Linked DNA regions of Arabidopsis thaliana. The protein of the gene in region 1 interacts with the protein of each later gene in a pairwise test. Each region holds a gene or a part of one and is shown on either strand. Other genes may lie near its edges. The genes, in order: NGA4, INO and GPRI1.

What was found.
Region 2: the proteins of NGA4 (region 1) and INO interact in binary tests that used the Arabidopsis thaliana proteins (3 or more experiments, as listed by UniProt).
Region 3: the proteins of NGA4 (region 1) and GPRI1 interact in binary tests that used the Arabidopsis thaliana proteins (3 or more experiments, as listed by UniProt).

What each region holds. Positions count from the first base shown.
Region 1 is NC_003075.7:637,728-641,488, reverse strand, and holds NGA4 (AP2/B3-like transcriptional factor family protein), read right to left. Parts: upstream 2,243-3,761; 5' UTR 2,091-2,242; intron 1,888-2,090; 5' UTR 1,699-1,887; coding exon 697-1,698; 3' UTR 513-696; downstream 1-512. UniProt on the Arabidopsis thaliana protein: Regulates lateral organ growth. Functionally redundant with NGA1, NGA2 and NGA3.
Region 2 is NC_003070.9:8,315,588-8,320,009, reverse strand, and holds INO (Plant-specific transcription factor YABBY family protein), read right to left. Parts: upstream 2,714-4,422; 5' UTR 2,681-2,713; coding exon 2,486-2,680; intron 2,389-2,485; coding exon 2,251-2,388; intron 2,150-2,250; coding exon 1,999-2,149; intron 1,906-1,998; coding exon 1,857-1,905; intron 1,738-1,856; coding exon 1,662-1,737; intron 1,526-1,661; coding exon 1,427-1,525; intron 987-1,426; coding exon 906-986; 3' UTR 519-905; downstream 1-518. UniProt on the Arabidopsis thaliana protein: Essential for the formation and the abaxial-adaxial asymmetric growth of the ovule outer integument.
Region 3 is NC_003071.7:8,853,719-8,858,259, reverse strand, and holds GPRI1 (GBF's pro-rich region-interacting factor 1), read right to left. Parts: upstream 2,903-4,541; 5' UTR 2,775-2,902; coding exon 2,310-2,774; intron 2,243-2,309; coding exon 2,195-2,242; intron 1,964-2,194; coding exon 1,823-1,963; intron 1,745-1,822; coding exon 1,400-1,744; intron 1,258-1,399; coding exon 1,216-1,257; intron 1,118-1,215; coding exon 1,004-1,117; intron 894-1,003; coding exon 738-893; 3' UTR 504-737; downstream 1-503. UniProt on the Arabidopsis thaliana protein: Transcriptional activator that functions with GLK2 to promote chloroplast development. Acts as an activator of nuclear photosynthetic genes involved in chlorophyll biosynthesis, light harvesting, and electron transport.

The DNA.
Region 1 (3,761 bases):
AATGAAAGAACATATCATACCTTTCATATTTCTTTTTTCAAAATTATCATTATAAACTGAAATTGTCCTTCCATAGCTTCTCTTTTTTGTTCTCTGTCCATAACCTACAAATCTCTTTAAACCAACCCAAGACAATAGTAACCAAACAAACTAAAATTGGACCATTGGTAGGGAAAGAGAGAGCGACACTTTTGAAACTGCCCATTAGCTTAGAATGTACCATGAAACTTTGTCAGCTTAGCTACAGATAGGCACAGAGAGTACAATTCATAAAATTTTATAAGCTTTTTTCTCCTTCCCAAGAGTATACATCTCAAACTAGAACCAAAACAAAGTTAGGATACAGAGATGAACACTTTTGATTTATGGATCGTTGTAAGCATTTAATTTGACAATATGAGTAACTATAGTTAAAAACTCAAGATTATATGAAAATTAAATGATTATTTATATTATTTATAAGCTTAATTTAACATTGAAAGATGGGGGTTTTCTATTCAACATGGTAATTAGGGCTCAAGGATCAACATGTTGAAACAAAAACTCTTAATTAAACCAATATATAGATATAAGCCCGGTTAATTTCCCACTACATATTCCCCAATTGCCAAATGATCTAATGAGTTGAAAGTTGGAACTAACTCTTAAAAGAAAATGGTGAATAAATTACTCCTTAGTTCTTATTTTATTCTATCTTCAAAGCTCTAAAGATTTCCCTTTCCTCTTATATTCTTCATCATCACTTAGCTGCATAGCCGAAGAAGACGATGCCATTTCGCCACGTGGCGACCTCCAAAATGATTGATCATCGTCTCTGATCACAACCGGAGACGAGGAAGAGTACCCTGCTACTCCCATTTCGCCACGTGTATCCCCTGAAGATGAAGACTCTTCCACGTCAACCCCAAACAGCCTCAGCTTCTTCGTCGTCGACGGCTGAGGAGGCGCCGACGGAGGTACCCTCCCCGCTGGAAAAACTGGAACCGAGTCATAAACCAACGGCTCAGATCGACCAAGATTCCACTGATGATGTTGATCCAACGGTGATCCTGCGTAGTAACGCACTCCATTACCATTAACAACTCTACCATAACCATACCCTAAATATTCCCGTTCTTGAAATTGGTTCTGATAAAACGGTGGAAAACTCCGGTATGGCATGGAATATTCCGGCGTCACCGGATAAAACCTAGCCGTTGGATATGTCGGAGACCCGAAAACGAAGTTATGATTGTTAATGTTGTGTACGAAGTTTATCTCGGCTCTAGGCCTCCAATCGATGAACATTATTTTCCGTCGTCTCTCCGGTTGTGCGTTATCGTCAGGGATGTAGCCACGGTAGAAAGAGACGGTGTCTCCGGCGAAGAGTTTCTTCTCCTTGACGAAACGGCTCCATCCTTTGGTCATCACGTAGCTTTGGCTACTGTTCCAATACGAGTAACGAAACCTCCACATCTTGCCGTTTTTGTCTTGGAAATCCAACACTGTGCCGTTTTGATTGTCCTCTAAAGGGAAGAAGTTCTCTGCATGTTGCTTTGGAATCACGAGCCGGTTTAGTTTACCGACGTCACTTGGTGTCAACACTTTGTCGAACATGTGCTCTCTCCTCTCCGAGCTGTAGAAGTAATTGGTGTGGTCGGAACTGCTAGCTCTGATCTCGGCGAGTTCTTGGTCAAGATTCATTGTTGAGATATTCATCAAAAGTATCAAGCTGTTTATATATGGGGTCTTGAGAAGATTGATGACCCAATTTCAAGATCTTTCAAAAGTATCCAACTTATAGGTTCTTGAAAAGAAGATGGACCAATTCAAGATCTTTCAAAAAGTATTCAACTTTATTTTTATGGATCTGAATGAGTGATTCTTGACAAGATCCAATACAAAATCCTTCAACATACATGAAATAATTTTATTAGAAATCAAATAAAAATCATCACCCCAATACTAAGGAAAAAAAGTAATACTTCAATCAAATAATTAAAAGTAAATGGAAGATGAAGTGAAGAACAAGAAGAAGAAAAAAAGCTATAACCAAAAAAACAAAAAGTGAAAAAGAAAACCCTAAATCCAGAAGAAGAAGACAGACGTACTCTTTCACTCTTTGTGTTTGCTTCTTCTTCTGATCTTTTCGTTGACTCCAAAAGAGAAATAAATGAAAATGAAATCAATGGTTTGGAGTTAAAAAAAAAAAAGGTTCTCTCTCTATCTTTCTCTCTAGATGACTTTAAGGGGTGAAGAAATATAGTGGCTTGAGAGAGATTTCCTCGATGATGGAGATGAAGATCAAATATTAGAGAAGAGTAAAGGGGCCCATGAATGGTGTGGTTCGGGTCATGTGAGAGCTTCTTGTCCTTTTCAATTAGCTATAGACTTGGGGTAACTCTAGCTATTTATATAGATATACAAATATATACATACATGTATTGTGTCAATCTTTTGTGAGACTATTTCCTTTTATTTTGATATCTGTATTTTTATTTTCATCTTTATTCATACCAGATCTTTTGTATTTATTATTTTCTGTTTGTTAGTTTCTTCTAATTAGTTCTTTACTTATTTTTAGCTAATTATATTAAATCATCATATATTATAACTAATTTGTGTATACCGAAGATAGAAAACCACACAAAAGTACAACATGAAGATTTATATTAACTATAACTAGATATGGCTCCACACATATGCTTACACGTGTTATTTCTGTATCAAAAAATGTAAAAAGACATGACCAAATTAAGAAAATAGGTTACATGATAGGAAGTTATATTAAATTATATTAGACCATGAAAAAATGTTTGTCAGTTTCTTCTATCTAGTTATTTTTAGCTAATTATATTAAATCATCATATATTATAACTAATCTGTGTATACCAAAGATAGGAAACCACACAAAAGTACAATATGAAGATTTAAATTAACTATAACTAGATACGGCTCCACACATATGCTTACAAGTGGAACTAGCTAATTTTAGTATCTATATATGTATATAAAAAATGTAAAAAGACCATGAACAAATTAAAAAAATAGATTACAAGATTGACACTAGACCAAATAAATAACTTTTTAATCTATACATGTAAGAAAATCATTAAAAAAAAATAATATTAGGTTTCTAGATAGACATTAGACCAGCTATATTATTAGTAAAGAAAATTATTAAATTAATCTATAATATAATATTAATCTGAAAGTTATGGAAATATTACTTTTAATAAATTTAAAATTTAAAATATTTTTTCTCTATTTTAAAAATATAAACACTAAAACATATTCATTTTATGTAAAATTATAATGAGACACTGTAAATTCTAATGAATATCTTAGTTTTTTTAGGTTTTTCCTAAGAATGCTGAAAAAAATAAAAATTCATTTAAACTTTTTAGAAATGGTCTTATAAGAAGGTTTAAGAATTTCTTATAAGACCAATTAGTAATTTCTTATAAGACCATTTCTGAAAGTTTAAGAATTTTACTTTGGTCTTTTGGATTTTTATTTATAAGAATTTATTTACTTTGGTATTTACCATTGATTTAATTCTTAAACATTTTCACAATGCTTTCTTAATACCAAAATAAAACTCTTAAACGTTTTCACCTGAAATTGTTAAATCAATGGGAGAAAAGGTTCGAAACATTTCTACAATGTTTCTTAAAACAAAATAAAGGTATTTTGTAAATTTTTATAACTGTGATAATTTTAAATTATAAATCTTAATTATTCAAGATTTTTTCAATTACTTACTAGTAAATATTTTTCAG
Region 2 (4,422 bases), on another chromosome or scaffold:
AGGTGTGACTTGTCGTCTTTGGCCTAGTTCTTCTCGCCGGTATGGATTCCTTGGAACTCTTCTATGTAAGGTAGTCTTCATCGTAATAGGTGGCACCGCTGTCCGTTTGGTTGGGAGTTCCTTGTCTCCTACGGAGTGGCTTGTTGTAAAGCTCTGCCTTTCCTTTGTCTGGTAATGTGGTTGACGAGATGTTGTGTTTAAAATTTTGGTTGTTTTGGTCTGCTTCTTTGTTTCAGTTTCGCAACTTTGCTTTGTTTGTAAGGTTTGTTTTGCCTTGTTGTCTCCCTTTCCTTTGGGTTTTGCTTCCAAGACTATCCTTTTAATCGTCGGCTTAGTTTTCTGGTGTTACTTGTTAACCGCCGGCTTTATATTTCACTTTTGTATTTCACCGGAATCTCTATAATAAATTTTCAGACGACAAAAAAAAAAAGTAACTTAGAAAGGTCAAATGTCAAAACAAAAAGTGTTTTTTTTTTAGTAAGTGTTTTTCTCCATCGTACGTACAAAAGCATTGAGCGCGCGAAGTCAAGAAGGATCTTTATTATGATAGGTTAACAAAGATTCTTACTAAAGTACTGTTTCATGGAATGTTAAAACATTCATGGAATAAGAGTAGTCATGAATGCAAAAGTAGAATTTTTTTTATAGAGTCAATGCATGTCTCTTCAAATTAAGTTCAAAGTTGACAAGTACTACGAAATTACTGAACAAACTCGCTCATTCCCAAGGACTCTTCTCGAACACACACAAATCCTACTTCCGTTTCAGATTCTTCTTCTCTCTATCTCTCTCCAACAACAGAAACCCTAAACCAACATAATCAAACCCTAGAAGAAAAGAGTCACCATCACATGTCATACGCCATTATTTATTTTTTTGTTAAATTTTCATATCCCAAATTGTTATTACTCAAATGGAGATTTTCCCCAAATGGAATGCCTCTGAGCCTTTCTCTCTCGGAACCCATTATTGCTTTCTTCATGGTCCTGCATCACAAACATTTCAACAATTATTTGGTATATTAATTGAAAACTATACATATTCAGCTTCAATGTTTTAAATTAGTTGAATGGGTTTCTATAAAAGTAAACTGTGTGCAGTGTAAGCTTCAATACTATAAAAGGGTTTAGGTCATAAATTTCACACATTGTAGTAGTTGAAGATCAATGATATATTCTCACAATCTCACTTACCCTTCTCCTTGCTTTCACTCTAATAATTAGTAAATGATTTCTCTTTATATAATTAGTCTAGCTAGGGTTCTGAAATTTTGACTGAGAGCGATGCTATTTGGATCTAGTTAATGCTTTAATTATTTGGTTTGCTTTGGAAAATGACACTTGTTGTGGAGTTTACTTGTCAAGAATATGGTAATTGATTTTGAAGCGAAAGTGATTAAAAAATATAAATGGTTGCTGAGGATTACCTCAAAAACATTGCATGGTAGTATCGCATTGTTATCTTCCTCACAAAAACATTGATCTGAAGCAGCTCTCTTGTTGTGAGCTGGAGGAAAATGGGCCCACTTCGCCATCCCCAAATCAAAAAATTGAAATCATAAAATGTTATTAGCTAACTCGATCTGTCAATTAAGCTAACAAAAAGATGAAAACTATATTAGGGTTTTCTTTTAAATCTTAAGACTAATTAAGCTTAAGTACATTTTTGGCAGCTAAGCTGAAAGCTTCCTTGTGAGCCATGCTTGGATTCTGAGCCTTTAACCTCCTGATCTCTTCCCTGCTCCAATACAACCCCCAAAGAAGAACCATTTTACAAACTCAAAACCTTAAGTGGTTAAATTTGTAAGAATATATATAATATACATACACATGTAATGTGTTGAATTTATTTCTTACTTGATGAAGCAATTGTAAGCTGAAGGAGCTCTTTGTCGCTTCTCAGGTGCTATATATATACAAACTCAAAACATAATTAGACGACTGATGAAAGGAGAAATCGCAAAACTAAAGTTTAAGTTGAATTTATACTCAAACGTACGTTTATTGACAACTTGGTAAACACGAGACACATCTTCATCTTCATTGTCTGAAGATGAAACCAAAGTCGTTGGACTGTTCTCCTTCTCCTGATTCACCTTCCATGCTTCTTCTTCCACACCATCTGTAGCTGCAACCTCCTCTTTCCCGGTCTGCACATATATTTACATATAATCAAAAGTAAGTATATATATATATATATTGGTCATATTTAGATGGTGTGTGTTTGTCTATGTATAGATGTTATGGAAACCTCATCAAGATGGGAGAGAGAAGCAAGGAGATGGAGAGGAATGAAGGAAGCCTTCATCAAATTGACAGAGAGAAGGCTTGTGCAATGCCCACATCTCACAGTCACCACCATTGACAAGCTTGTAAACGGTACACTCACCTGCAACACATTTACACTCATTAAACTCATGATCATATATATAAAGAGAGGAAGGGAGAAAGGAAGGGAGAGAATAAGAGAAGAAGTTAAGGTATACCAGCAAAATAGTGGTGCAAAAACCACACTGGACATGGCAAATCTGCCCCGGCAGATCAAATAGATGGTTGAGTGTTGTCGTCATGTTGGGGAGCTTTGTCATAGAGAGTGTGTGTGTACGATGAATGATAGGAGATATATGTGTGTGTGTGTGTGTGTATATATAGACAGAGAGATAGGTTTTGTTAATATTCATTAATGCAAATATGTAATTATATTTATATCTTTCATGTGGAATGCTTTGGTTATATGCTAAAATGCACAATACAATTCAACTTATGTACGTCTCTATCTCACTTGTAATAATTGGAATCTTCATAGTCTCTATGAGCTGTAAGCAGTAAATGATTCTCATTCTTTCTATTAATCACATTCCTAACTCCTTAATATTCAAACTACATTTTCTTCTCTAAAATAAAATAAAATAAAATGATGTATATAATACTTTTGTTGATGATGGAGTTTAATTAAGAATTTTCGTTATACAAAAGCATTGTTATAAGATTTTTATGTTATGTCACACTCACAAAATATATATGACAAATGATACATAACGTTTGAGCGTTTACCATTAGAGGAGACATTTTTTGTTGTCAAAACAATTTAAAACACTTAATAACCTATAAACAGAAAATATATAAGCTCCCTTCAAAAACCATTTCAGGATTTTTCTGATAAATAAGCATACAAGATAATATGTGTTATTGTAAGATAACACTAGGTTAAACAAAAAAATAACAAGAGATAAAAATCGATGGTAAAGAGTATGAGTATTAAAAATGAACATGTGAAAATGGAAAGGCACGTTGCACAAGAGGAGATAGATAGACATCGAAGAGAGCTGGGGTTAATAAATGATGTGATGTGGTGGTGTGGTTTGGTTTGCAAGTTAGAAAGAAAGAAAAAAACAAGTGAGGTTGAGAAAGAAATGCCTCTTTGTCTCATGTGTAGTTGTCTCTTTAAATGGGATTTAATGAATCTCTCACAAAACTCAACAGTCTTTTGGAGTTTTGGTTGAAGTGAGACTGAAAATGAAAGTGCAGTGAGTTGAGACTAGTGCGGGTGTTTCTAGGAGACTCATCACTTTTAGTAACTCGGAATCTTAGGATTTTGTCTTTCTTCTCTCACATTTTTGCTAACTGTTTCTTGACCATTTTACCCAAACTCTTCTCTCTCTCTCTCTCTCTATTTCTTCAAGTTTCAGTGCTTTCTCTCTGTGTCATGTTATTTCTACTGTCCCTCTCTTTATTGCTTTCTCTCTCTCTCACTTACTCTCATCTCCTATTTTGTGTTCAACCACAAGAAAAAGACTAAACATAATACTAATATTTACTCAATTTCCTACACATTTGTAATTTTTGTGTGGGTGGAATCCAATGCAATGACCCAACCCCGGAGTGAACAAGTTTCGACCCATTTTGAGAGATCACATAATTTACCGACCCATTAATAAGTTTCGATCCATTTTCATAAGCCTATTGATGAGTAATTGAGTAGGAGGTACACATTTGTGATTTGAGAGATTAGAGGTTAAAATTATACATTGTAATCATAGTTATGGCTTCTGGTTTAACAGTCTTTTACTCCATATATACTGATATACATCTCATTTCTAGTCTCAAACTTTTACATGACAGCTTATAGATTGGTCAAATCTCACTGTTAACATAAATAGAAGCTGTGAAATGACGATAAAATGTGCAAAGACAAACGCACGTTAATGTCAAACACATAATCAATATCTGAGAGAATTTAAACTTATCTTAGCAAACAAGTTATCAGAGCCAACAACAACAAAACTTCAAGACATTGGTGTAAGAATATGATCAGAATCAACATAATGGCTAAATTTTGCCTTGCACTAATCCAGGTTAAAACTAAAACAATGTCGCAAAGAATTGTTCCAACACAACGTCCTAATTCTACAGCCACAATTCA
Region 3 (4,541 bases), on another chromosome or scaffold:
AGTATCCGCATGTATATGAATTATCAATTATGAAGAGAGAGGGACCATTCAAATTTGAAGGAGACGAGAGAGAGAGAGAGAGAGTGGTCACAATTGGAGAAAGAAGAGGTCGTTACGTTGGATTTTACGTTGCCTCCATGCACTTCCTTCTCCTCTTATCTCGTGGTCCTCTCCCTCTCTCCTCATTATTATTTTATGCCATTGTTCTCTCAATCCCAACAATACGTTTTTATACGGTAATATATGCATGGTAAACACACAATTTCATTACTCATTTTTCACCATATATAACCGGCTGGTATTTTTAAGTATAAGTTATGTTTATAAATTATAAGTGTATATATACTCGTGAGGTTGTCCTCTTTATAATCAATTGGTCGTCGTTTGCGACTTTGCTTTGAACGCTTCCAATTTCCATATGATCATTTGATATGGAAATTTGTTGTGTTATGTTTTATAAAAAAACTTTATATAAGCAATCAAGTTCTAAATCACCAATGGTTAGAGAAAATATAGGTAATTTATTTGCGTTAATAGAGCTAGAGTGTACTTAGCACCCTAGATACATATGAAAAGGGTCTCCTTATTAGTCACATGGGACGATTAAGTAAAGAGTAACTCTTAACACAACAAGGGTCAAAACAAAAACAACCCTTGGAAAAATAAAAGTACAATAATTGAAAGACATGTCGTCGAATTTTTGTTTGGTTCTCGCTTGCCTACGGATCTTGTGCGTTTCAGGCACAAGACGCGGTCGGAGGAACCTCAGAGACACCGTGACGGTGAAGCTCTGTCATAACACCGTCAACAGCCGGCGGATTTAATCCCAACGGAAGTGGCAGCCATGGCCTCGTCAATACATCTCCTATGGCTGCATCCACGCTCTCTTTTGACTGTTCCATTTATAATATATATACACAAAAAGTCAAAAATACATAATTACATAATCAAATGCGAAAAGTCAAAACTCGACAACAATCAATTCATTATATTAGATTCTTACCGGATGTAAGTCTACCGGAGGACGAGCACCACCAAATCCAAGATTTGGTTTGTACATCGTGTGATGCGGCGGCAGAGCATGCGGGATTCCGGCAACTGGCGGTGCTCTAAATCTCTATACAATTACCAATCAAAAATACGATTTAAAACATATATATAGAAACAAAAAGGGGTATACATACGGAAACAATCTTATAAATGTTGGTTCATTACCGTAGCTACGGTCGGTAAATACGGAGTCGTCCCGTTATGCATCTACATGCAAAAATGCTGGTTAGAAAGACAAGCATATGATAAAAATACTCGGTGTCATTCAGCTTTCATAATGTTAAATACTATGATGAAAACAAATATGATAAAGAGCTAAAGTAAAGGTTTCATAAATGTGGGAACTTACTGGATGCCAATAGGGAGAATCGGAGACCCAAAACGGCGGATTAGGCATGGCGGTAGAAGGCGGAGGTAAGTGTTTGGGCCACACATGCGGCATAATGGACTGATCAACCGTGGGATGTCCCCACACATGCAGGGGCCTAAAATGATGGTGGTGGACAGGTGGCGGTGCAACAGCCACGGGTGGTGGTGGTGGAAACCCGAGAGTGGGTGCCGGTGCAAGCCATCCATTTTTAGTCCGACCATTAAGATTAGCACCGGTGTCTACTCCATAGATATGCCTTTTGCGTGTCCAATTAGCCGCTTCGGCCTCACGAGCTAGCAAATGTTTCCGATGAGACCTATATTTCTAGTATACCAAATAACAGCAACATGTTAATTTGGATGGTTAATATTAGAGAATGAAATTGAAAAGAAATATACTAACTTGGAGGTGACTAGCAACGTTGTGACGAGTGAGACAATGGACTCCCATAAGCTCCAGAATTCGAGAAGGAACAGCTTTGTCCACTCCTAACTGTTCCACTGCCTCCACGAATCTCCTGTGTAGCTCTGGTGTCCAATCCACCTTCACACACATCCCAACATATATATAACCACCATCTTCATTATTTTTTCAATACTTTTTCACATACTATATAAAATTCACAATTAGCAGCTGACTATTTTACATAATTTGAAAGAAAAAAAGTCTTATAGAGATGCACGTGATGTCTTTACACGAGTCTTGTAAACATGACTGAAATATGAAAAATTTAGAAGATTTAGCAAGAAAATGAATTCTAAACGAATAATCCACTTTTAAAAAAAATACGAATCCATTATAGACCTGTTCATTTAATCGAGTCTAGCTAGGGTTTTTATTCATATAAGACTAATGTTTTATATATAGATGATATGATTAAAATCATTACCTTCACCTTTCTCTTCCCTTCGTTGTTACTGATCCGATTGTTCTTGGAAGAAGCTGAAGAGGAATACTTCCTTTTCCGGTCACTGTCACCGTCATAAGTCACCGTCTCCGCCGCAACATCGTCTCTTTTGCTTACGACTTCTTCACCTTTCCCCGAACTACCCTTAGTAGTCTCCCCTTGACTATCAGTCTTATCCGACGTCGTAGTAATCGTTGAAGAAGCGTTCATGTGATTGGAGAAATCCCCGGATAAGATCTCAGGGTCGATCTCCAAGTCAGGAAGCACATCTCCGGCCACACCGAATATATCGTCGAAGTCAATGATGTCAAGAAGATCACCGTGGTCAGCGAAATCCGGAAACTCCTCCTCCTCCTCCGGGTTTATAATCGTGAATCCACACGACGTATCAAGAAACTCTGACGCTCCGTCGCAACCATCTCTTGTCGCCGGAGACAGAGCTAACATCGATCAATCTTCACTTGTAGATCCAAATATAATCGTAGATAGAGGTTTATGTATGTTGTAGATAGGCTAGACTTAATTAGAATAGAGAGCAAGACATGTTTTGATATCCAAAGTAAGTCTCTTTCTTCTCCCTTAAAGGCAAATATAATTCATTTTCATTTATATGCTATATATAGAGAGAGACAGAAAGAAATCCATCACAAAAATATATATATATATATATACTAGATAAGGCCCGCCTATTGAGGCGGGTGTACCCGAAATTTTCAAATACTCGAACAGATCTAAACTTCAAAACCCAAAAAACTCGAACCTGAACCCGAATACGTATCCAAACATATTTCAAATATAAATATATATTAGTTATATTTATACTTATATATAGAAAATATTAGGATTTTTTGGATATTTTAATTATTTTGTGTATTTTTAGATATATTCAAGCAAAACTACTCGTGTTGTTTTGGGAATTTTTGAAATTTTCAAGTAATTTAATAGATTTGCACACAAAATTTGATATTTCAATATATAAATAAACTCAAACCCACCCAAACCGAACCCGACCCGAAATCTTAAATTACCCGAACGGGTCCTAAACTTCTAAACCCGAAAACCCGAACCCAAAATACCCGACCCGAATACCCAAACGCCTAGGGCTAATAATTAATAAAAAAAAGAAATCCACAAAATATTTAGAAACCAAACATTGTTGAAAATATATTTTCTATATATGCCGTAATCTCGTAAGTTAATTTTACATCATGCAAATTAATATTAAATGAGTTAAAATTAATAAATGAAAATAATTGAAAAGTTAAATCCTATAAGATAAGCTATTTTTCTCAAAATGTTCTATTTTCACTTATGATTACATGAGTTAAAGACAAATTTGTTAATTTTCCTTTTGTTGAATAAATGTTAATTGTTTATAAATATATAGACATATAAATTAGTATATGTAAATTTGTTTACTTTTTAAGATTTTCTATTTAATTTTAGAGAATAAAAAAGTTAAATTTTGAATGATACATGTAAACATCTGATCGTTTGACTTGACACGTGACACAATCTTATGAGTTAGCAACTTTAAAAACCATACTTTATATAATAAGATATATATATATATATATGCCTAGTTCTAAATGTGGTAAATAAAACATAAATTTTTTTTTTTTTACTGTTTAGATAAACATAAAATATCGACAACAAGCTCAAACATATATTTAGGCAACTCTTTTAGCGAATCTTTTTCCCTGTTTTGTTGGTAACACAAAAATTTAAGTGAAGTTGTTGCCAAACTGGATCAGAGCCACAACTTTAAAGTTCAATATCTGATTGTCGCATTTGTCCCTTTACCGTTTTGGTATCTTGGTTTTGGTCTGTCCCAACATTATTGATCAATCGGATGGCATTTCAACGGTTCTATGTCACTATGTAAAAGGTCTATGCTGGTCAACTTACATGTAGATGGATGTAAATAATCAATCCATCTACCGTATCACATACCCCTTATATATTGACGTGAATGAGGCTCGCAAATTAAGCTGTGGAAGATGCTCTTATAAAAAAGGACAGAATTGTCTCATTAGGTATAAGTGGACATGCACGTCCTATGGGTCCTCAAGAGCTACAATAATTGTTGTTGCTCGTTTCCACATCACATTTTTTGAATCGAATTCACGTTCACAATATTCGTACGGCATATATATATATACATCGTGAAGGAAGAAAATTGTAAGAAATTCCACATACTTTCAGGCCCTTATA